4 linked regions of the Schizosaccharomyces pombe genome follow. Changing the gene in region 3 together with the main gene of any one other region gives a genetic interaction. Each region holds a gene or a part of one and is shown on either strand. Other genes may lie near its edges.

Region 1 (6,498 bases), on a different chromosome or scaffold from region 3:
ACACAATGTCCGCATTCCAACATTACCTGAACTTCATGGCAATTTTTGGAATCCTTTCCCGTTCCTTTGGTAATTATTCGACTTTAATCTCCTATTGCCTCTGACATTGAGTCAAGGGTTAATGTTTGTGTCTTATCTAAGGGACTTAAAGGCATTTGTTATGTTTATGTATGATTATAACTTGCTTTTATGGTTTGGACGTTCTAAAGGCTGTGCGGTTATGTGTATGCTTTACGTTAAAAAAAATCTGTTTTTGTTTACATAGAAATGTATTTATGACTTTTGTTGTAACCTGTTGTTATGGTTGTATGGTGTGTTTCATTTTTGTAGAAAATGCGTAATCATCGTAAGCATAACTTAATTTTTAGCTTTCAGCATTATTCTTGTGTACAATGCAGTGTTATAAGCTAGCTGCTTAATAAATAATTTCAGCCTAGCAACTAATACACGCGACTTTATGATAGACGTATGACATACATATTTGTATATATATAAAATAAATTAGCAACTGTGCTCATTAAATTAAAAGTATCGTTCAGTAAATTAATAAACATTAATAGAAGTCTCCATCATTACCGTAGTTAACTAACTACTCACTCTTTTGACATCCTTAGACTTTACAAAATAATAGTCTTTAATAGCCATCACACTTTTGTACTCATCGGTATTCAAAAAATCAAATGGCGCAATATCTTGAAAATTCCGAAAAAAATCGTAAAACAATTGTAACCACGAATAGACCATTTTGAGTTCACGCTTATTCAACGGAATTCTCCTTAGGGTAGAATCTGTGACTGGAGGCACTAAAATATCTCGAAATGTCTCCAACAAGCCAAACCAAAGCCGCGAAAGCAAGTAAAAAAGAGGTTTCGGGAGCAAGTTTACATAAATCCAATAAAAAAAATCATCTAGCTCTGCCAACAATGACTGCTGCTCTTTTTCACACCGGGCCTGCAACTCGTCCATCTTTTCTTTAGTCTCAGCCTCTGCGTTATCATTTTCGTCTCCATCAAGATAACGCACGAAATCCATTAACCCACTATTTCTTAAGGAATTTCGAATAAATTTACTTAGAGAAATCATCAGTACATTTAGCATTTTTACTTCAGTAACGGTAAGGTATTCCATTTGGGCAAAGCAGTAATAATTTGGTGTTTCCCTCTTCAAGAGCACACGCAACCCAATCAAAATTTGTCCCTTATTAGTGATATCAAGCCAAACATCTTTTCCGTGGCCTTGCTTAAGTTTGTCGGGATCAACTTCTAGTGTTGCATGACCATATACAGTCTCCAATCCAGTGTGTATATTCCTCTGATATATAATTAATTTAAAACGCTTTACGTTTGTAATCTCCATCTGATACGTTTCTTTCCAATTGGGAACTAGCTCGTCATAAACATCTCGAGTATGTACACAAAATTCCGACTCAGGATCTTGGAGCAAAACAGAGAATGAATATGGGGCCTTTGGGGTTACCAAAAGATGGGCCATCTTAATGGAAATTATAACAGTCGCAGATGGTACTTCCATATCTTTAAAGTGCATTACCTTCTCTGTCAATATTTTATAATCAATCCTTTGATGCAGCATTTTTAACCAACCACTCACTAAACTGACGGTATTGATTAGGGTGAATGATTCCCTATACAGCTTCAAAAAATTTGGGTCCCCAGAATGTCTTTTAAAATGACTAGCTTTTTCTTTAAGCTGCTTCACCGGAAGATCAGGAACTAAAGGTTCTGCTTTCAATGGTATATCGGTACTATAAATAAACAATGCATACATGCTGTCAACGTAGTAATGAATGTAGTTTTCACTAAGTTTTCCAAGATGCAAATAAAAACGATTTGCATCTTTGGAACTTGGCCAATCTATTTTCTGCAGAAAATCATAACAGTCCTGCAAAGGAGCAAGAATCATTTTAGTTGAATCTGAATAAAATCTGGATCTCTTAGGAATGAAAGACTCTCTTAGGACTGTTTGCAACACATTAGCCAAGCCCTTGTCGATTATCAGCGACAAATTTCTATATACAAAGGTACCGCTAAAAGCTTCATAAATTTTCGGGTAGTCCGACGATAGGTATCCGGTGCAAGCCACTAAAGCGCGAGTTTGCTGGTATAGAGCATTGATCATTTCAAGGATATGATCTGGAATTTCTTTGCAATTTGAGTATACATAAGTTTTGGTAATGGTAGGTAATTTCTCAAGAAACAAGTGACATGTTGCTTCTGCAAAAAATGAGTGAACCGAAAGCTGGTTAAATATTCTAGCACTAAAATTCGACTTCAAGTTTTCGTAAGTGGCTTGCAATTGGACACCCACTAATCGAAGCCCTTCGAGATCTGATTCAGGCTTCCCAGTCAGTTCTTTCTTCAGTAGATTCTGGAAAAACTCCCCATATTTTTCTTTCAGTTTTTTAAAAAAGTCGGTGTATTGCTCTTCTAGTTCTTCAGGGGTTACCAGAAAAAGCGGACATGAAAAGATGTAATTATTAAGGATATCAAGGATAGCTCGGCAAGAATCACTAGAACGAGGACAGCTCCCCAATTCTTCTACTAAGTCATTTAAAGCTCTTCTATGATAAAACGCCAATAACTCCGAAAATTGGTGTTCGTCATGGACTGACCAAATCGCATAATCACAATCATGAATTAAAGAAAAGAAGTATTCAAAAATATCTCCAAGGTCCGAAAACTTTAGGAGTTTATCCTCAAGATAAGGCCAATATATACTTAAGACCACGCAACAACATGTTCCAGGATGAATACGCCAAATGTTGATGAAACTTGTAGTCATGCTCCATAAAACGTTGGTACCAATTTCATTACTTTGGCTATAACAATAACGTAAGCACAAATCCATTAAACGATAAAAGTATGGAGCACAATCATCAGGTCTCAAAGTATATTTATTGGTATTCAAAATCGCAGATAGAAGATCATTGTTTCCCTCGGCATATTGTAGTTCTTCAAAAAGGACAGCCAAATCAGGATAGTTTTGAAAAATTTTACTAATAGCATTTTCTGAGTAATAACACTCCCTTTCAACGTATTTGTCGAACACAGCTTTTGATGAGAAATCGTCACTTCTTAATACAGAATTGTCGTTAATTGCCCTATACTTTGATAACTGAAAATCAGCAACGGCGGCAAAGGATATATTTTCCGGAAGTAGATCCTCGACACTTAGAATGAAGGCATTGTAGTTAGGGATATTAAATACACCACATAAAACTTTTACATAGCTGATTAGCGAAAAGTCACCTAAAAGAAAAAGATGTTTGCTAAGAGTACACTGCTCTTCGAATTCTGGCCAAGTATCAGCTAGGGTGGAAAGAAATTTCGTTGTAATATCAGCCTCAACGCCTGTTAAGGATTCATGAGCATAATCGGATAATGTATAAAATAACCACTGCGAAGATTTGATAATTAGTGATATGGACGTAAATTCAACGGAAAAGTGGTGACTACAAAGGAGGTCAAACAAGGATAGTAAAAAACTATCAAGGGACTGGTGCTGCTTAAAAAGCCTGATCTCGTCTTCTGAGCAGTTTGAAAATCGGCATAAAAATGAGCTGATAGATATTTGAAAAAATAAAGTATGCGTATCTATGTAGCTCGAAGCTATCTTAGCAAAAGGGTGCCTGGGTAGCTGTTCACAAACATAATTGAAAAAAGACGGGGGAAGATCTATCGAAGGAATATTTCTTTCATGACACTGAATAATGGCAATACTTAAAAGCTCCTTGATTTGATCCAAAAGCGCATTTTCACGCTCAATTTGCTTAGCATTTCTGCGACTGCGTAATGTCGATAATAAAAATATAGCTCTGGCAGTCCAATCAAAAAAATCTGGGGGTTCAACACTAGTGAATCCCATTTTAAGCCTTTCCGATTTGCTGAGTAGAGAGTGCAAAAACCTGGTGTTCGGAATGTATGAAGGTGTTATTTAATGGATGAAGGTAAAAATAGCGATAGGTGATGGTTTATGTTGTCTGCTTCTTTGGATCGGTGAGTAAATTATTTAGTAGATCAAAATTCATTTATAAGCTGGATTTCAATAATGTGTACACAATTATGTTAATGATCGTTCCAGGTCTAGAGATTAAAACTTTTTCACAGGTTAAAAAATAAAAAATAAAATTAATTATAAGAATTGTCGCTTTCCAGAGTCTTATTTAAGAGTATCGAGCCAGGTTAATAAAGTGTAACGTCAAAGGTTGAATACTAATCACAGCGTTGACAAAGTATATAAACGCACGAGTTAAGCCCGTTTATACTTAATCGCAAAACTGAATTTGATGATGTATTCGTATTAATGGGAAAGGCTACGATTTAAAAAGATTTTGAGCCTATACTATAAGTGCGTTTTCTGTCAGTTGTTTATTGCGACAGTCGCCCCCCTGGCGTAGTAGAAGTTGCAAGTCGCGTTGTTACTCTGTAAACAAGAGCTTTAAAAATGGAGTAGATTTAAATGGATGAAAAGTTAATAATAGATTTTAATTGAATGGATTTTTCGATAAATAGGGAGTATCATTCAAATAAAATTGAATTTAGAGGCGGTTGATTTTTGGTTGAATGAAATGTTTTGAAAATGGCGCTGATCATTTAACTAAACTCATACCTAAAAGAACGAATGATTAAACCAGAAGCAACTTAAAAGTTGTTTATCAATGGGAAATCTCAATAAGCACTTACATACCTTGCCTAAACTGCATTCTCCAGCGACCTAAAAATCTCAGTGCGATAATTCTGAAGTCCATCATTACTATTAAATTTAATCTTTTATATACGTCGTATGAAAACCTTTTTCTTGACTATAAAAATCATGACAAATGAAAATTTCGGCTAAAAAAACGTAGCATTTCATATCATAAACAGGGAGAGATGAATATAAAAACCGTCAATCCTTAGAAAGGAAACGTAATGAAGCTATGTCCAACAAAAATTTAGTTCAAGCTTTTCTTCGATAATTCGAATTCATGAACACATGTAAAATGCTTATTAATCAATTATGCTAAGGGACTCTCTTGATTTAACGTCCAAAATAACAGATAGAGTTTACAAGAACTCTCACGTTTCTCGAAACAATAATTCTCCGTGATTCATTATGAACATCAAACTTATTAGAATAGATGGAAAATTATTCATACTTTATAAAAACCAAGAATGATGATAAAAAGTATGAGACATGCCATTATAAAAAATTCAATCGCAAGTACTTTTACATTACTCTTCAGCTGATAAATGCTTTCCTTGTGTGTTAGGAACAGGCATGGTATCAGAGTTGCCGTTTTCAGGAATATGCATTTGATCAGGTACGAGGGCAGGAGATCCAATCGAAATTTCCATGCCAATCGGTGCACCCCTCGTTTGCAGGGCTAAGGGGGAAGGTGCAACAGCCGGATATGGACTAAACTGAGCCTGGGGTGGTAAACTCATTGCCGGAAATAATGAGGTAGCAGGAATAGTAGTTTGTGAAACCTGAGACTGATAATTCAAGGCAGGAGCCGCAATTGGATTCTGATTCCTTCCCCAAGATAATCGGATACGAGAATTGCCCAAAGGATAACCCTGCAACTGATTGATAGCAATTTCAGCAGACTGTCGGTTGACAAATTGCACAAATCCACAACCTTTTCCAGGTGGAATTTTGACATAAACAATTTCTCCAAAATTTTGAAAAAGATACTTAAGCTCCTCTTCAGAAACAAATTTTGAGAGACCGCCAACAAATACGGTTGAGTTTGCTGTGTCAGCAAACTGAGGAACAGGCTGTGCAGCACTATAAAATCCAACTGGTGGCATACTAACAGGTACAACGTTCACAGGACTAAAAACATGAGCCTTACTTTTAGGAGTGGCTAATCCCACCCGAATAGGACGATCACCACAAATTTGACCCTGCATTTCTGCCAATGCAGATTTCTGATCATTTTCGTCCGTAAAACGGACAAAACCATATCCTCTTGACACATTTGTTTGAGGATCAGTCATGATTTTGGCCGACTTGCATGAGTTATATCGAGATGCGAAGAGAGAATACACATCAAACTCATTGACATTGGGTGACAAGTCTCCCACAAATATGGAATATTCTGAGGCCTTTGAAATAGACTTTTCACGTAATCCGCCTCCAGAGGCCCAATTAAGTTTAAACAAATGATTTGTACCAGGAATTGGTTTGTTGTTCATACTCATCGCGCTTGAAGCTTCATGAGGAGATGCGAATTCGACAAAACAATAGCCAGCATTCATGCCTGTGTACCTGTTACGAATAAGCTTTACTTTGACTGCCTTTCCTAAAGTATTCCAAACTTGCTGGATAAATGCTTCAGTAACCCAAGGCTCTAATTCACCCATCCAAAGCGTCGTTTTTTGATAGACGTTTTCATCTCTTGATGAGCCATAGTTGCTAGTATTTTCGGAATTTCCAGATTCGTTGGATGCCATATTTGGAGAAATCGGATCTTGAGATTGTACGGGTTCATCATTT
Region 2 (6,498 bases), on a different chromosome or scaffold from region 3:
TTTTAGTATTTTATCCCACTTACTCTATCGACGCTGGGCTGGCTCGATTGATCATATTCATTAAATCCAGCGCCTCCTCCCATTCCTGGAGAAAAAGCGCTATTGAAGTCGGGACCATAGCCCGGCTTGCCAAAAGCATCATAAGCCATGAGCACGTATTATCTCAAATTATGAAAGTTTGTTAGGGTGAATTAAAGAGCGATGAAAAAGCAAATCAACCACTTAAAAATATATCTGCGATCTTTTAGAGAGTGATTTTTAAATAATTGAATATAAAGTTACAGCTGATTCCACGAGTAGTCTACTTTTCAGTGGTGTGTTTAGTACAAGTTACGAGTCGCGTTTCGCGGTGGTGTACCGAAAAGAATAAAATCAAGCAAGCGTGCTTATATACTACAATGTAATAAAATTAACTGTTTTATTTAGAAAACCATCTTACATCTACTTTTTTTCTCTATAACCGTATAGTTTTCAATACAAAAACCTACTAATCACGGGATGCTCAATTGACTTAAAACGCTTAAAGCAATCAGATACTGTGCTACCATTCTGCTTTACCAAATGTAAAGAAAAACTAAAAAATACATTATTAAATTTGTAAACATTAACACATTCATATGTAACAAGAAGGCATGGAACAAATGTCCGACGCAATTTTACAAATCGTATAGGAAGAAAAGCGATTTATCCACAACAAAAGAATAGCTAATGGTGAATGACTATTCGCACATCGACATATACAAAATAAGAACATAAACGTATTGCTATGCACAATCCATCCATTTTATGTATTGAGGAAATATAGTATTGGGGACATAAATTTTGAATATAGTTTTGAAGACAGATGCTTAATGCAAGCAGTAAAATGTAAGAGCATCTGAAAAATGAAAACGAGTGAATGATAGTTGGTAAAGCTGAACATAAACATTCTATATAAGGAAGAATTGTTTAGGCGACTAAGCGTTCCAAAAATGAATTCCCCGAGATGAATAGAAAACTGTCATAGACACAGTACATATATATACATCGATAATTGTGAGCGGCCTTATCAATTTGAAGCAGCCAAGCTTTAAACCATCTTCCAATCCGAGCCTTTTGCCAAGTTAAGTAGTGCCAAAATTTAATACTTCGAAATAAATTCTGGGAAGCGAAAATTAAAGTATGACATATATTAGAGGTGATGCAAAAATGGGAGATATTAAAATATTAGTTGGTTTACCACAGTTGTTTCCATTCACATTCCATTGTCATTCACTGGATGGCTTTAACAAAAAAGGAAGACATATGAATGCAAAGGCTATGAGAAAATTTTAAGAAGTAAAGTGATAATAAAATCGTCATAAAAAGAAATTATAATACAAGAAGAGGAGCTTGTGAGACTTCACCATAAACAAAAATAAAAAGAACAAATCCTTCTATTTTTCCTCACCAAATTTACCCCGCCACCATTTTAAAGTCAACTCCTTTATTTGATCCCAATAACTTTTACTCGAATCTCTTTCCTTCAAATACGTGTAGCCACGATAACAAATCCAAATAAAATCTGACAAGGCAATAAAGATGGCAACGAAGTTGTCTGCAAAGACTGCAACAAATGCGAATCGTTTGCATGAACCAGAGCAGTGCAACGGTTGGGCAAGTATAACGATAATCTGTATTTGAGGGAGAATCCACATAAAGATAAAAATTGCAGGATAAGCAAACAAAAACTTAGACTGACTTAAAATGCGTTTCCGTTGTTTAAGGAGGGGATCATCTTGCATATCATTTCCATATGCAGCCAAAACACTAGAAGCACCATCTTCGTCACTAGTCAATGGACTACTGAGTTTAAAACTCGTGTGATCTTCAAGGCCATTTGTGCGATTTGGACTATCCCTAAAATCCTGTTCGAAATGTATTCCTGATTGATTTAGATTAGCAGGAGTAGACTGCGAACCAGGAGGCAAATTAGGATGCACAGAGGATAGTAACGGTCTCGAATAGGGAGAAGGTTGAGACTGCGAGGAGTAAATGGATTGAGAATTAGATGGAGTATATGTTAAAGTACTGTTGGTGTCGGGAAATGGTGGAAGAGCTACTTGATCCGGAGCGGTAGGATACGAATCAATGACATTTAAAGTATCAAACACATTTGTTTGTTGATGTGAGTATTTCTTGAAACGTTTGATTTTCCTTCTGATCGAGATGAACATGCAAGTTTGTAAAGCAATAATTGCAATACTTAGCGCATAATCAAATGACCAATTCAAACCAAACATGAATCGTACAGGGGTATAGGGAAGGTAGCATCGGGTTTGTAAATTGACAAATGTATTTCTTTTATTGGTAAAAGCAAGTCCGCCAATAGTTAAAGGAATTACAAATGACAGTGTAAACACAGTATGCCGAAAACGATATAGACCCCTTCGTTCAGTATCAACATGGGGGAAAAGCACCAAAAGAGCATTATGCAATATGTTGATAAAAATCCAATAATCAGTCATCCGAACAAGTACCAAAAGAAAAAATCCAATTGTAAAGCATCGATGTTTTGGAGCCCAAAAAAAAGGATCGCTTAATGCTAGACATGGATGAATCATTTGCACAATGGAACGAATAAACAATACAGAAAAAAGAGCGATATGAAATTGTTCACGTATTGTTCGCCGACGAGACCATCGCCAGAAGATAGCAATTAAGCTGAAAACGATAGATATGGCTGAAGCTATAATGACCATGATTCTCAGGTTAGCTAACTCTCTGCGAGAGACAATGATGATGGAACTCGTACTCGTGGCATCGGAAACATTAAACGTATAATCTAAATGAAGCATGAGCAACCTTGTTCCTTATTACAAAGTTTAAACTTCTCTTCAAGAAGACAGGAAAAAAAAAGAGAGGAGAGGAGGTGAGAAAGTAAAAAACAAGAAAAGCAATATCAGAACGAAAAACAAAAAAAAAGACAAAAAAAAAAGGAATACTCCAAAGACAAATCTATGACTTCAGAAATGTTCAAATAGACAAACAAGAAAGCAAAACAGAATTTTCAGCCACTTGGGTAATCAGTCCTATTACCCTTAAGAAGTGCAAAAAATAGTATATCTCGTATATCCAATTACCCAAGATTGCATATCTGACCCTCGATTTTCTATAAATTGCTTCGTTCGCGAATATAAACAGTCTCTTCAAGTTGATGTAAAAAACTTAGCAAACTGGCAATATAGAAGGAGCTCTCTAAACTAAACGAGTTTGTTTCGAATATGAATTTGAATTCCCGTACTTTTATTTTTGTTTCTGTTTTCTTTTTTCCAAAAACAAGCTTCTCGTCTTTACTTTTCAATTAACTCAACTATTCTTTCGAAAGTTGTAGACACACGATTAAACTGTTAAAGGTAAAAGTTGAAATAGTAAATCTACTGCTTTTTCCTTTAATCGTGGCCGACGAAGCAGCTCAAAAGTGATAAACGAATGCAACCAGGAAAGCCGGACGCAAAACGGTGCCGACGATTATTAATAAAGCGCAGTCCCGTCTCGACACTCTTGGCAAGAAGAAAAGCGCAATTGACGTGAACAACCAACGATGTATTGTGCTTATAAAGAAAGCACTAGTGAAGTCACTTAGAGCTCAAAGCCACTTATGCACGTTTTGCAAGGCTCTTAATAGCGTGGCGAACCTTCTTAAGGATATTGAAGAATAGGGAAATCGGAGGCGGTATGGCTTGCAATTAACGCCGTACAGTGAATAAAGCGGTACTAAATCAAATCGGTGAAATTTACCGATAATTAAGGAAAAGACAAATCAATTGAAGGCGCCGTGGTTTGGGTTGGCTGATGGAGTTGGCTTGATTATAAGTAATGATGGCGGAGAGTTGCCGCCTTTGCTGTTGTGTATGAGTGTGTAGTGAATATGCACAAATATACCTCAACGACTAATGGATAAGGTGTTATAGCAAGTACAGTAGTTAAGTACCAATGCGGGATTTTTCTGAAAAAATATGCAAGCACACGGGCTTGACAGAAACACAAGAGGAGACAAATAAACCAAAGTCTCCGCACCTTAAGTCCACAGAAGAAGAATAAAAAAAAAGATCGCAATTGAATTATGTGAGGGGGCCCAGGCGTCAATAGTACAGAGTCGATTGACTAAGTAGATTTAAGATCACAAGCTGTAGAGCAAATCAGAAATTTGCACCTACGCAGAGACAATGAACAATTGTAATTTCAGAAAAAAAAATATCGACAACGATTCAAATTCCGAGTAATTTTCTAGCAAGACTATTGAAGAAAAAATTTCCCTAATCCCTTGATGAGCCTTGTCGCACTAACACAATATCGGCGATGCTTTCACACTCCTAGATGTGCTACCACCAACCATTATAACTTATGAAAAAAATTTGTAGTATCGCTGTAAACGAAATTTTTGTGTAAGAATGACGAGAGTTGTTTTTGCACAGACAAACGAGGTTCGGACGATCGGCCTATTTTTTAAGTACGATAGTGATTAGTATAGTATATCGTGAGGAGCAAATACAATCGCATAAAAAAAATCAGGGTGAAAAGAATCATTTCAGAGTGCGTTAATGAGAAAGTCCTCGTTATAAAAGAAAAAAAGGAACCGATGATTTAAAGTTATTGATGGTTTTAAAAAACAGCGTTTATTTTTACAGTGTTTAAAGTCAAGTCAATATTAGGCACAAGAAGAGGTCACACTTTATTTTCAAAAGAAAATGGATGAAATGCAACTCCATGCGTTGCGATAAGCGTTAAACACCAATCTAGGAAGCAGTCCCTCAACAGAAATGAAGCGAAAATCGAATGATGGTGAGAATAGAATAATAAAACGAGCCCCGGTAAATTGAAAGTTGATAGAATCAAGTTTCAATTAGGGGTAATGAAAACGTGCTTAAAAATAGGGAGTAATGTTGTAGTTACCAAAATGAACAATTCGGACCAGACCAATAAATATTGTCGAAATAAAACAAGGAGTGTTAAATTTTATTATTATGTCTTTATTCTCCTTGGAAACCGGTTCGTCCACGTGAAGAGAATTCTATTAGCATTGTCGAAACCGTTTGATCCGGTTATGCCTTCATATCTTTGAAAACATTTCCGCCAATTCCACCAAGTGAAAATCACAATATCGTTAGTCGGTATTGTCTTTAGGTTTACTAGCGGGGGCGTTTTTGTTTTGAGGAAAAAAGAATATTCTCTGGTTTCCATCTACCTTAAGTGCCGATTAGGCAGATAAGCTAGATTAAGTGAAATGGGAAACGGGATTCATTTTCCATTGACAACACTTTTAAACATTATTTGATAATTCGCATGCAACCCTTCAAAGTCGATTCGACATTTTAAGGTTTACTTCACGGACATTGAAATCATTGTGAAGCTTTGTAGACTGTTGTCTCTCTCGGAAGTACCCAAAAAAAAAAAAAAAATCCTTTTTACACTCATAACGTTCTAGCTGTTTCATCCCTTTAAAAAATATCATGTTTTTTTTTTGGTGCTCGGAACATTTACTTTCTCCACTTGGTTCGTCTATTTTTGAAGTTAAACTAACTATTTGACCATTTTCGTACTTAATGTCATGAACTCCTCTCGTGGATTGTTAAGTCAATTATCAAAACCAACCACCAACTCAATTTTAACCGTTGTAACCTGACCCATTATTAACACTAGTATTCATGCTGTACTTGCGGCAATTCCCCCATCAAAAAGTTTTCAGAGTTGTCTTTTGATACCGATTATGTGTCGTGGTGGAGGCTTACACCCCAAGGATCGGAACGGGATCTTCTCAATTTGATTTTAATGCTCTGCATGGACAAGCCTAAGGGAAAAGAGTCATGCAACAAGTAGAGAAATTTATTTCAACATTGTTGTGTTGGCGGTTTCTGTTTGCTAATCCTCAGCAACGATCATATGCAGTTGAGATCTCGACCAACTTTTCGTTAAATAATGTCAAAATTTGCAACAAATGTTTTATCACGGTACTCGAAGAATGTGAACTTAATGAAGTTTCTCATTTGGTTGCCAAATTGTGGTCACACATCAATTTTGTCGAAATAACCATTCCGATCCTGATTTCGTTCCATTTTTACTACTTTTTTAAATTTGGGATTAAGTTGAATTGGTCTGTCTTCCTACATCTTGTTCCATACCCGTTCCAAACTTTGACATAATTGGATGAAGCTGTCTTGTTTTAGATAGAATAATACCTTGGAGCGTAATTGCTTTTCCTCTTCAGTAAGTTCTGTTGGTAGGATTTGTGAAGTCGTTGGGGGTGATGGAATCAAATTTGCGTATGCTTGGTTCTCCGGTTGAGCAACCCACGAAGCCTGTGTCTGAGAGTTCAGCGGCGTAGCAGCAATAATGGGGTATTGTGAGTTTGCACCGTAAGAGTAGGCATTACGATTGGGATTAAAAGGTGATGAAGTTATCACCACGTTTTCATCCCAAGTGGGTTGTTGTGACGCAGTAATACTTTCAATTGATGTATCACTTCGAAGGGGCATTTGG
Region 3 (5,036 bases):
TTAATTTCATAATTAGAAGTCGCATACGTATAGTGAAGAAAGTTGAGAACGATCGGAATCGAAAGTTTGGTAGTAAAATTGAGTGAACTGGGTCGCCAAAGCATTATAGTCTGCAGAGTATTAGCAATAAATCATACAAATTTTTATCTTACCAGCCATAATGAAAGATGGTGGTAAAAGGTAGACCTATTATTTCAAGTTCGAAAAATCGCGTCAAAAAAGATCGTACAGACACCTTAAGTAATTTAACGTAAAATGATACAACTCTTAATATGTAAAATAACATGATAAACTTATAGTTGTGTTATTTGGCAAAAGTCCTCTATTCGAATAGTATTGGCAATGGTAGAAAAACGAATTTGCAATAAGATTTGAAGGGGTTTTACTTCATGCAAACAACAGGATAGATGTTTATCCGTTCCTATTGAGACAAAATTTATGAGAAAAAATATGGTGCTAGCGTCTAACTAGTATCATGAACGAAATGGAACATAATATTTACTTGATTGTGAAGATTGCTTATTAAATGCTACATTCTTTTTTATAACGATGTATTTCACATTTTGCATAATTAATGCACCTTCAATCATAATTAAAAGAAAGCAACAAGTATTTGAGTTGGGATAAAAATGTAAAACTTAATCTATTAAATGTTCACATAATAAAATATGAAGATGACTACAAAATAGAACGTAACAAATAATAAAGGATAGAAGGAAACAAAAGCAAAACACCCACAGTTTGCTTTAATTCCTGGGTAAACTAGAAAACACGGAGCGAAGCCTTTGAGAGACAAAATAACTATAACGAAAGGGGAACATAATACATAATAAGTTATCTTCTATTGTGGATAATAGGAGACAAATTTTTTGATTGGAGCAAGCTTATCAAGCTTCGAACGTCTCGCCGAACACAGTATCTGCGACGGGATCGTTAGCATCCACCGTACGTGGATTCCCATGTGAATTTATTGAATTAACCGATGAATGGGTTGTTGTGCGACACGCATGTAAATTATCTGTCTCTTCGTTTTCTTGTAGTCCCAGGTTCTGAAACTGTTCATCAATGGACTTATTGACACTATAAAGTTTAAGGTTAGTTGATGGTCAAATATTTAAAAATAAACTTACAAAGTGAAACCACGAAATCTGTCCTGAATCGTGTTGGATAGAGGTGTCGAGGCATTAGCGGGATCAACATTGGAAACTATATTGATATTTTTCACATTAGTATTGGTAAACTCTTTATCAAAATTGGAAACATCCAGATCATTTTGAACATTCGGTTTAAAAGGCGGCTGAACCTTCTTCTTGCTAAGTAGGTCCCAATTTATGTCTGCAAAAAAAGGATGCTCTTTTAATTCAGTAGTGTCAGCAACTGCTCCTAAACGATGATTTGGATTGCGATTTAAAAGGCCTCGAACAAAGCTTCGACCCTCTGATGAAAGAACTCCTTTTGGAAAACGGACCTTTCCAAAGGCAATATTACGATACATTTGTTGGACGTCTGGAGCATAAAAGGGGCTCCATCCGCAGCACATCTCAAAGACAAGGACTCCTAAAGACCAGAAATCGACCTGTTTAGTATACCCCTTGTCCTCAAGTAAAACTTCAGGTGCCAAATATTCGGTGGTTCCACAAAAGGTATTAGTAGTTGCGTTAGCTGAAAGGTTTGCCTTAGACAAACCAAAATCGCAAAGAGCAATATGACCATCTGCATCTAATAGTATGTTTTCAGGCTTTAAATCTCGGTAAATAATATCATGTTTATGCAAATGTTCAAGAGCCAAAACAAGTTCGGCTATATAAAATTTAGCTCTTTGCTCAGGAAAGCGACCTTCATGTTGAAGATGCCAGAAAAGTTCGCCTCCACTCATATAATCAGTTATCAAATAAAGATCTGAAGCGGTCTGAAAGGAAAACTTTAAACCAACAATAAACGGAGATTCGTCTAATGAAGTCCTGACAAGTATATTCCTTTCGCCCAAGGTATGTGTAACCTCTTTTTTACGAACAATTAATTTTTTGGATATCTTTTTCATAGCATAAATCCGATTGGTATCGTTTTTACGGACCAAATAAACTTGCCCAAAAGTGCCTAAATAAAGTTAGTATACCGTAAATTTTTTAGCTTAAAGCAGCTTTACCTTTTCCGATTAAACGAAGGGCCGTAAAATCTTCTGGCCCATAACGAACATGTTCAATGTGCTCGTAAATTGTTTCCACTTTTATTTCACCCTCCAGAGACTTAGTTAAGTCAAGAGGCTCAAGCTTATACCATGCTTCCTGCACATATTCATGTAGGAAAATTGGTGTAATTTTAACGGAGCCCAAAAATTTATCGTCTTCATATTTGTCATATACAGATACAACCATTTGACTTTTCATTTTTGTCACATCAAATACAGTTTCAAAATCCCAATGAGGACAACGCACATCAGCCAACATTAGCTCAGAATGTAGTCCAGAAGAAGAACCGGAAGCAGATCCAGCAAGAGGACGGTTTTTAGAAGGAATGGAAATGGGTATCCCACCGTCAATGTCTTTAAAAGGAGGAGGTACCATAACCTGCGTTTTTTCAAAGGTGATTACTGCATAAGGTTGTGCATTAACACTTTTGACGTTCAAATCTCTACCTTGATGTAATCGAACATAAAGCCGTCCAAAAGCATGCTGACCATTTTTATCTTTTGGCACAACGGTATCATGCCTAATGTAACACGAAGATGGAGGTGTACGACTCTGTAGTAGTTTGGGTTTTTCTGAATATGTACCCATTGGTGTAATTCCATTGCTTTCGGAACTATTAGAACCAGATTCTTTATCTTCCTTTAAGGACTATGATAGGTTAGCCAAGTGAACAACAATTTATGGAGACAGTGATTTTTGAAAAACACAATAAAGAAAGCTATGGGGAAGATTGTCTTTCAAGCAAAAAATCAATTATAACATACCTGTTCTTTGTGAAGCTGAGCTGTAATCTCATTGTAACGCATCTTCATCCGATCCGACATGAAAACGGGATCATAGCCATTAGACGAAGCACCCTCTTTCCCTTCGTAATCGTTTACTTTCGTAGAATGGTCATTGGAAAGAACCGGTTGCGTTGAATGCGATTGTATTGTGGATGGCGATGCTTGATTTGTATTCTCAGAATTTGATGATCGATGCAATTTACCGAAAATTTCGGTCATTTTCAGCAAAAGCAATGATCAATCAAGAATCTTTTAATACTCTTTTAATGGAATCGGATTCCTCGTCTGGTGTTACTAATAATAGGGTGTGGTGTTTAAAGTTGGTTCGACCAGCAGGTGTTTCGCATATGTAACCTTCGCAATTCCCTTAATCGAAAAGTGTGGTAACATCCGGGAGTACGATATCTTAGCGAACGGATAGAAAATCCAGTATTTTTCGAACACTAATTCGTATTTTACTATGATTATATAGATGTATAATTTTAAATGGTTATAATATCAGAGGGGCGCCGCACTTCCATTTATCTATTTCTTAAGGGATTCAGGTAAGGGGGATGTATAACCCTAAACATTTGAAAAATTCCTTTGCAGTGTATTTTATTATTATGCACTTATTCTAAAAGCAGAAAAAGAAATTTATCGAGCAATTAATACGCTGTTGACTCAGAAATGTCTTGTGATTTTCAAAGGTTTGTCCAACGAAGGAGTATCGAAACAGAGTTCTCCGAATGGCTTAGTAGAAACTTCATGTATATTTATTTTAGCCTACATATACAAAAGAAATTAAAGCACATTACAACGTAATTTCGGAGAGCTCAAGCTATGAGATTTTCGACTGTTTAGTTTCGAGGAATACCTAGATAGTACCGAAAAATGCTACACTCTTTTTTTATAAACATTTATCAAATAATTTTTAATGCGTTGGCTGATGCCTTAACCAAAGGTCATACTAAATTTACCAGAAAAGTTTCTTTTTCTTTAATAAATCAATTGTAGTGTTTGAATGAATGAGCTTTAGTAGGATGTCCACTGGTCAATTAAAATTGTAACTTACTGACATACATTAGCAAATTTGGGCACAATTTCTAATTGTTATTTGCTTCTCATGGTTTCTGATATGCGTTTGATGCAAAATACTCGGGATTTTTGTATTTCGGCTGATTTAATTTTAATTTTAATTTTTTTTTATTTAAGTCTCTCTATACTCATTACTGTGGTCAATTATATTCCTTGAGTTTATTAAATCTTTTATTTACAGAGTACAATTAATTAAAATGGAGCCAAAAAAATAACCCTTGTTAAAAATTTTTTTAAACTGTTAATTCCCTCCCCAAAAAAAAGATTTAAAAGGAAAATGATTAAAAAAAACGAGAAATAAAATTTCATGTAAAAAGATAACTTTGTATAGTAATTTATATAATAAGAGCTAGTTTGTCATAGTTCACTGCTATTGTTTATTATTATTTTTTTTCATAGCACAGTATTTCAAATTAAATATCGTAAAAGACCATCAGAAATTACAAACAAAATAAGAAAATCATCGGTTAAATTAATGACATTCAAAGTACCACTTTTCGTTCCTCTGACAAACGTTGCTACGCAACCTTGATTAGCCGTACTAGCAAACCCATCTTAGTACTTTGTGGGGGCTTTCATTTTAATAACCACTGCTAAGCTGCTAGTGTTAGGCATAAAACCGATAATAAGGACCATGTGGGGGTCTTCCGCATAGGTTAAACAAACAGCTGCTGAGGCGAGGTTCAGGTTATCGTGGTGCTTTTCTACGTTAATTTATCAATACAAAATAGTTTAATTTCCAAAACAAAAGTCAAGAGATATCAGCTACAATTACATTAATGATATGCATCATCCAAAGTCAGTGTACAAACAATAGATTTACGCCCGACAAATAAACCGGTATATTTTAGAAGTTCATCATTTTGTATACAATCAGTTACTTCCAAAAAATTATTGATTAAATAAGTGTTTATAAAAGATTTTTCATAATTTCGTAGTACGGTCATTATTCTCAATTTCACGTGTTTTTTTCTTTTTTTACTTC
Region 4 (4,928 bases), 1.5 Mb from region 3:
TCCACTATGAGAGATGCTTTGTCAAGTATGGGTGATAGAATGGATCCTCAAGAAGTCGAGTCTATTTTACGCTCGTACACCAGTCATGGTGTATTCTATTACGAGAAATTCGTTGATGCTATTGCTGGGTCAAAAGATAGCAATTGAGTTAAGAGCAGCCAGATATGTTTCACATTCTTCCCTCTAATACTTTATCTTTTTAACCTGAGCCATTTCCCTTAGACGAATTTTCCTCTTCTCTTTTAACTTTTTATGAAAGCATTTGATACATTTATGTTCGTTGTGACCTATACTTTATGTGTCTCAATACTTAGCTACTCTCTGCGACTTTACTATTATTTGCAGTGTTTAGTGAGTTAGAGCTTAGGCTTAATGTCATTAACCATATTTTCATTCGAGGGTTCAATTAATGTATGAATAAATCTATATTAGCCCAGCATACCTATGTTCCTCATCAAAATTATCCTACCTTGTAAAACAGCTCTCACATGACTAGAAAAAAATAACTTTTAAGCACCAACTTGTACTTGTTAGTAGTATAAACTACATTATTCGAAAACAAAATTTGATGTACTAATAAGTATCCATAAACTTTAATATTACTAATCAACATTCCATATTATAACAACTTCCAAACAACCTGTAATCTAGTGTGTATTAAGAAAAATCGTGTAGAAAGAAATTTTTGAATGACAACAGACACTAGAATCGTTAACAATGTATAGGATAACTTGCTTTAATCCAAGAAAAACATTATATGCATAAATTTTGGAAAGACACATTAGATGCATTTGATTTAATCGACTTCCTCCATCTTGCTCTCAGCATTGTTTTCAGCAGCGACGGATTCGGTAGAAATTTCCTCAATAGGAGCCTCCTCCTCTTCGTCAATGCTAAGACCAAGAGAAATAAGACGGTTGATACGTTGAGCATAAGCACTAGGGTCATCAAGAGTGAAACCAGAGGACAACAAGGCGGTCTCATACAAAATAGTAGCAAGATCCTTCACAGAGCGGTCTTCGGCACCATTCTCCTCAACCTTCTTCTTGAGCTCAGCAATGATGGGAGACTTGGGGTTAATCTCAAAAGTCTTGCGGCTAGACATATAGGCACTCATAGAAGTATCACGAAGGGCTTGAGCCTTCATGATACGTTCCATGTTAGCAGACCAACCATATTGACCGGTAGTTAACAAGCAAGGAGAACCAACAATCTTGTTAGAAACAACAACCTTTTCAACCTTGTCACCCAAAATGGTCTTAAGTTGCTTAGCAAACTCCTCATACTCTTTTTCGAGCTTCTCGCGAGCAGCCTTCTCCTCGTCAGTCTCTTCCAACTCAAGACCATCCTTAGTAATGTTAACCAATTTCTTGCCCTCGAATTCCTTGAGTTGAGTGACAGCGTACTCATCAATGGGGTCAACCATGAAGAGAACATCAAACTTCTTGGCACGGAAGATTTCCAAGAAGGGAGAGTTCTCAACGGCTTGCTTAGATTCACCAGTGATGAAATAAATGTTCTTTTGATGTTCGGGCATCTTAGTGATGTAGTCCTCAAGACTGATAAGATCATCAGGGGAGTTAAGGGAGTTGTAACGCAAAAGCTTGGCTAAAGCAGGGCGGTTAGCAGCATCCTCATGGATACCAAGCTTCAAATTCTTGCTGAAAGCATCGTAGAAAGTCTTGAAGTTCTCCTTGTCCTCGGCAATCTCGTTGAACATATCAAGACAACGACGGACAAGGTTCTTACGAATAACCTTCATGATCTTGTTTTGTTGAAGCATCTCACGAGACAAGTTCAAGGGCAAGTCCTCAGAATCAACAACACCCTTAATGAAACCCAACCATTCAGGAATCAACTCTTCACAGTCGTCGGTAATGAAAACACGGCGAACATAGAGCTTGATGTTGTTCTTCTTACGCTTGGCCTCAAAAAGGTCCATAGGAGCGCGGCGGGGGACGAAAAGAATGGCACGGAATTCCAATTGACCTTCAACGCTGAAGTGCTTGACGGCCAAATGGTCTTCCCAGTCGTTAGTCAAAGACTTGTAGAAAGAGGCATACTCTTCCTTGGTAACTTCACTGGGGTTGCGAGTCCAAATGGGCTTGGTCTTGTTCAACTCCTCAGTCTCAGTGGTGGTCTCCTTGACCTTCTTGGTCTTCTTCTCCTTCTTCTCAGATTCATCATCAACCTCCTCAATCTTAGGAGCCTTATCGTCTTCTTCATTCTTAACTTCTTCGGTCTCTTCTTCTTCAGGGACCTCCTTCTCAACCTCACGGGTAACAACTAATTGAATGGGGTAAGAGATGAACTCACTATGTTTCTTGACGGTATCTTTGATAGTCTTTTCCTCGAGGTATTGAAGTTGGTCTTCTTTCATGAAGAGACGAATCTCGGTACCACGTAACAAGCGAGGTCCATCGGTGTCCAAAGTGACGGTGAAGCTACCACCAGCAGAGGATTCCCAGATGTATTGCTCATCGTCATTATGCTTACTTACGACTTGGACCTTGTCGGCAACCAAGTATGCAGAGTAGAAACCAACACCGAATTGACCAATCATGGAGATATCAGCACCAGAAGCAGCAGCTTCCATAAACTGCTTAGTACCAGACTTGGCGATAACACCAAGGTTGTTGATAAGGTCATTCTTGGTCATACCAATACCGGTATCGCGAATGCTAAGGATTTTGTTCTCCTTGTCAGGAGTAATGCGAATGAAAAGATCCTTCTCAGCGTCTAAGGCATGAGGATCGGAAAGGCTTTGATAACGAATTTTGTCCAAGGCATCGGAAGCGTTGGAAATAAGCTCACGAAGGAAAATTTCCTTGTTAGAATAAACAGTGTTGATGATTAAAGACATCAACTGGCTGATTTCAGCCTCAAACTTGAAAGTTTCTGTGTTCGACATTTTGTAATGAAATCAAATTGAAAACGAAAACAAAGAAAAATGAAGGAATTTATAGATAAAACCGGTTAAGTCGTACAGTTCGTAATATAAAGGGTAAAATAAGTAATTAAATATACTTTTATTACTTGAAAAGGGGTTTTCTTCTCAGCTATAACGTGATTTTAAATATGTTCAAACGTATGAACAATCTTTTAAGCGTTCAACAAAGGAACTTAGTGGGAAATGGGTTATAAATAACTTGAGAGCTAGATGGCGGAGGGTACGTGTATGGTGGTTTATATTCTGTAAACAAAGCAACTCGAACATTCCAAAACCCTAACCCTGGTTTTTGGTGGAAGGACATGGAACTCAAAGAATAGTGCGGATGCAACGAAGTGTGGTATTTGGATTGCGATAGAAGGTTGGGGTGAGAAAAAAAATTTCTCACTAAAGTGTATCTAGAAGATGCTAGAGGGAAGATAGTGTATTGCGTAAAATTACGAACAACCAATATTCGGAAACATCCTTACACTGTGATAAGCTCATAAGGTTTTACTGTAGCGAAAGGTTTTTTCGTTAAGCATCGTTGAAGGGTGATAAAATCGGCATCTCGCTAACGTTCACTGTTCATAACCGACCGTTTTTAGGTTAGCTAAACGAGATCGATCATTTAAAGTGTTTAACTGTATCTTATCTAGATGATGGGAACTTCATAAATTCCAAGTGAGTGATATTTCTTCAAATTTCTTTTGCACGCAATTAGAATACATATTAAAAATAATGTTCCGAAAAAGAGGCCTACAGCACCCCGGATTCCCATGTTGTCTCCAACCATAGTACTAACGAGGCCCTCAGACGCTTAACTGCAGTGATCGGACGGGAACTGGTGTTTTCGCCTAGGTATGGCCGTAGACATTTGTTACATAAATTTATAGAATATATAATAAAGAACAGAATATGTAATATTTCTCAAAATCGAACAGAATTTAGCAAATACCATTTCATAAACTTGTACTGTATTTGTTTACATCGTTAAACACCCAATCCTTCGCATTTGCATAAAACTTACTTGACAAGACGAAACGCATCCGATACTACTTCGGTATGTGCGTCGCTTGCATAAATTTCGCTACAGCCATGTCACCTATCGAATACAAATTATTATTGAAACATTCCAGCAGTTTTTACAGTACTCAAATTTTAGTAAAAAGGCTATTAATAATATCTCAGCAATAAATTCTTTGTATATAAATAAATCAAAAGTGATTCTCCGCCATAAATTTTCAAAGGTAATTAACCGTTCATTTAAGGACTCTTTTGAAACTTCCAAATTATTTACAGCTGCAATTAGTCTATATTATTATACAATCCTTAGCAAGAGAGACTAGCCTTGCCTTCTCTCAACAAATACTTGGCCTCCCTTTAAAAGATATCATGAGTCGGATTCCGCGATTTCATAATCTACTTGTATAGTTAGAGAGCAACCCATGCATGGGACGACACTTCTGTTATTTTCCAGGTCGTCTTCCGTGACAACATATCCTCCTAAATCGCCGCATCGGCAAGGATAATAATAGGAGCCGTTGTCGAGTTCTTCAAATTCACTTAGATCAACGATAGAGTAGTAATGCGAGCTTTCTGTTTAGATTAATAAAAAAACCTTCAAAACAAAATTACCCTCTTCTTGTTTTATTTGATATTGCTGACGATCTTTTTCACTTGAAAGGACTTGATATGCTTCTTTCACTTGATCAATAGTATACACCACAGAGGGCTTTTCTTTACACTTATCCGGGTGAAACAGTAGTAACGCTTTTCTATAAGCTTCTTTTATTTCATCGTCTGTGTAAGTTTTTCCATCTTTGAGGTTTAGAACCGAATAGTGGTTCATGAGGATACAGCACACTTATGTCGTTCTGCTGGTATATGCATATACATAGTTAGGGTGCCCAATTGATTTGTCATTACTTTGATGTAGGAGAGCAATGATGAAACAATATGTGCTCAAATGTTTAATTAAAGCTACATCTTTAAAAAT

Evidence for each region.
Region 1: of sck1 (region 3) and git1, extra expression of one rescues a mutant of the other (dosage rescue), as found in Schizosaccharomyces pombe (one study listed by BioGRID).
Region 2: of sck1 (region 3) and git3, extra expression of one rescues a mutant of the other (dosage rescue), as found in Schizosaccharomyces pombe (2 studies listed by BioGRID, with this or other methods).
Region 4: of sck1 (region 3) and hsp90, extra expression of one rescues a mutant of the other (dosage rescue), as found in Schizosaccharomyces pombe (one study listed by BioGRID).

The regions. Positions count from the first base shown.
Region 1 is NC_003423.3:3,830,612-3,837,109, forward strand, and holds git1 (C2 domain protein Git1), read right to left. Parts: upstream 4,380-6,498; 5' UTR 3,883-4,379; coding exon 586-3,882; 3' UTR 574-585; downstream 1-573. Other genes in the region: splicing factor Cxr1, read right to left, coding at 5,232-6,498.
Region 2 is NC_003421.2:1,541,766-1,548,263, forward strand, and holds git3 (G-protein-coupled receptor Git3), read right to left. Parts: upstream 4,331-6,498; 5' UTR 2,817-4,330; coding exon 1,416-2,816; 3' UTR 568-1,415; downstream 1-567. Other genes in the region: single-stranded DNA-binding protein Ssb2, read right to left, coding at 24-149; meiotic recombination protein Rec7, read right to left, coding at 6,123-6,498. UniProt on the Schizosaccharomyces pombe protein: G protein-coupled receptor (GPCR) that senses glucose and signals via the heterotrimeric G protein alpha subunit gpa2 to activate adenylate cyclase and PKA signaling, and suppress sexual development and gluconeogenesis.
Region 3 is NC_003424.3:2,401,414-2,406,449, forward strand, and holds sck1 (serine/threonine protein kinase S6K family Sck1), read right to left. Parts: upstream 3,291-5,036; 5' UTR 3,194-3,290; coding exon 2,954-3,193; exon of another isoform or gene 2,838-2,953; coding exon 2,147-2,837; intron 2,098-2,146; coding exon 1,131-2,097; exon of another isoform or gene 1,081-1,130; coding exon 888-1,080; 3' UTR 603-887; downstream 1-602. Other genes in the region: nuclear import protein Nxt2, read right to left, coding at 28-110, 153-159. UniProt on the Schizosaccharomyces pombe protein: Protein kinase that is part of growth control pathway which is at least partially redundant with the cAMP pathway. Required for trehalase activation.
Region 4 is NC_003424.3:3,887,978-3,892,905, forward strand, and holds hsp90 (Hsp90 chaperone), read right to left. Parts: upstream 3,163-4,928; 5' UTR 2,912-3,162; coding exon 797-2,911; 3' UTR 581-796; downstream 1-580. Other genes in the region: myosin II regulatory light chain Rlc1, read left to right, coding at 1-147; diphthamide biosynthesis protein Dph4, read right to left, coding at 4,323-4,528, 4,568-4,781. UniProt on the Schizosaccharomyces pombe protein: Molecular chaperone that promotes the maturation, structural maintenance and proper regulation of specific target proteins involved for instance in cell cycle control and signal transduction. Undergoes a functional cycle that is linked to its ATPase activity.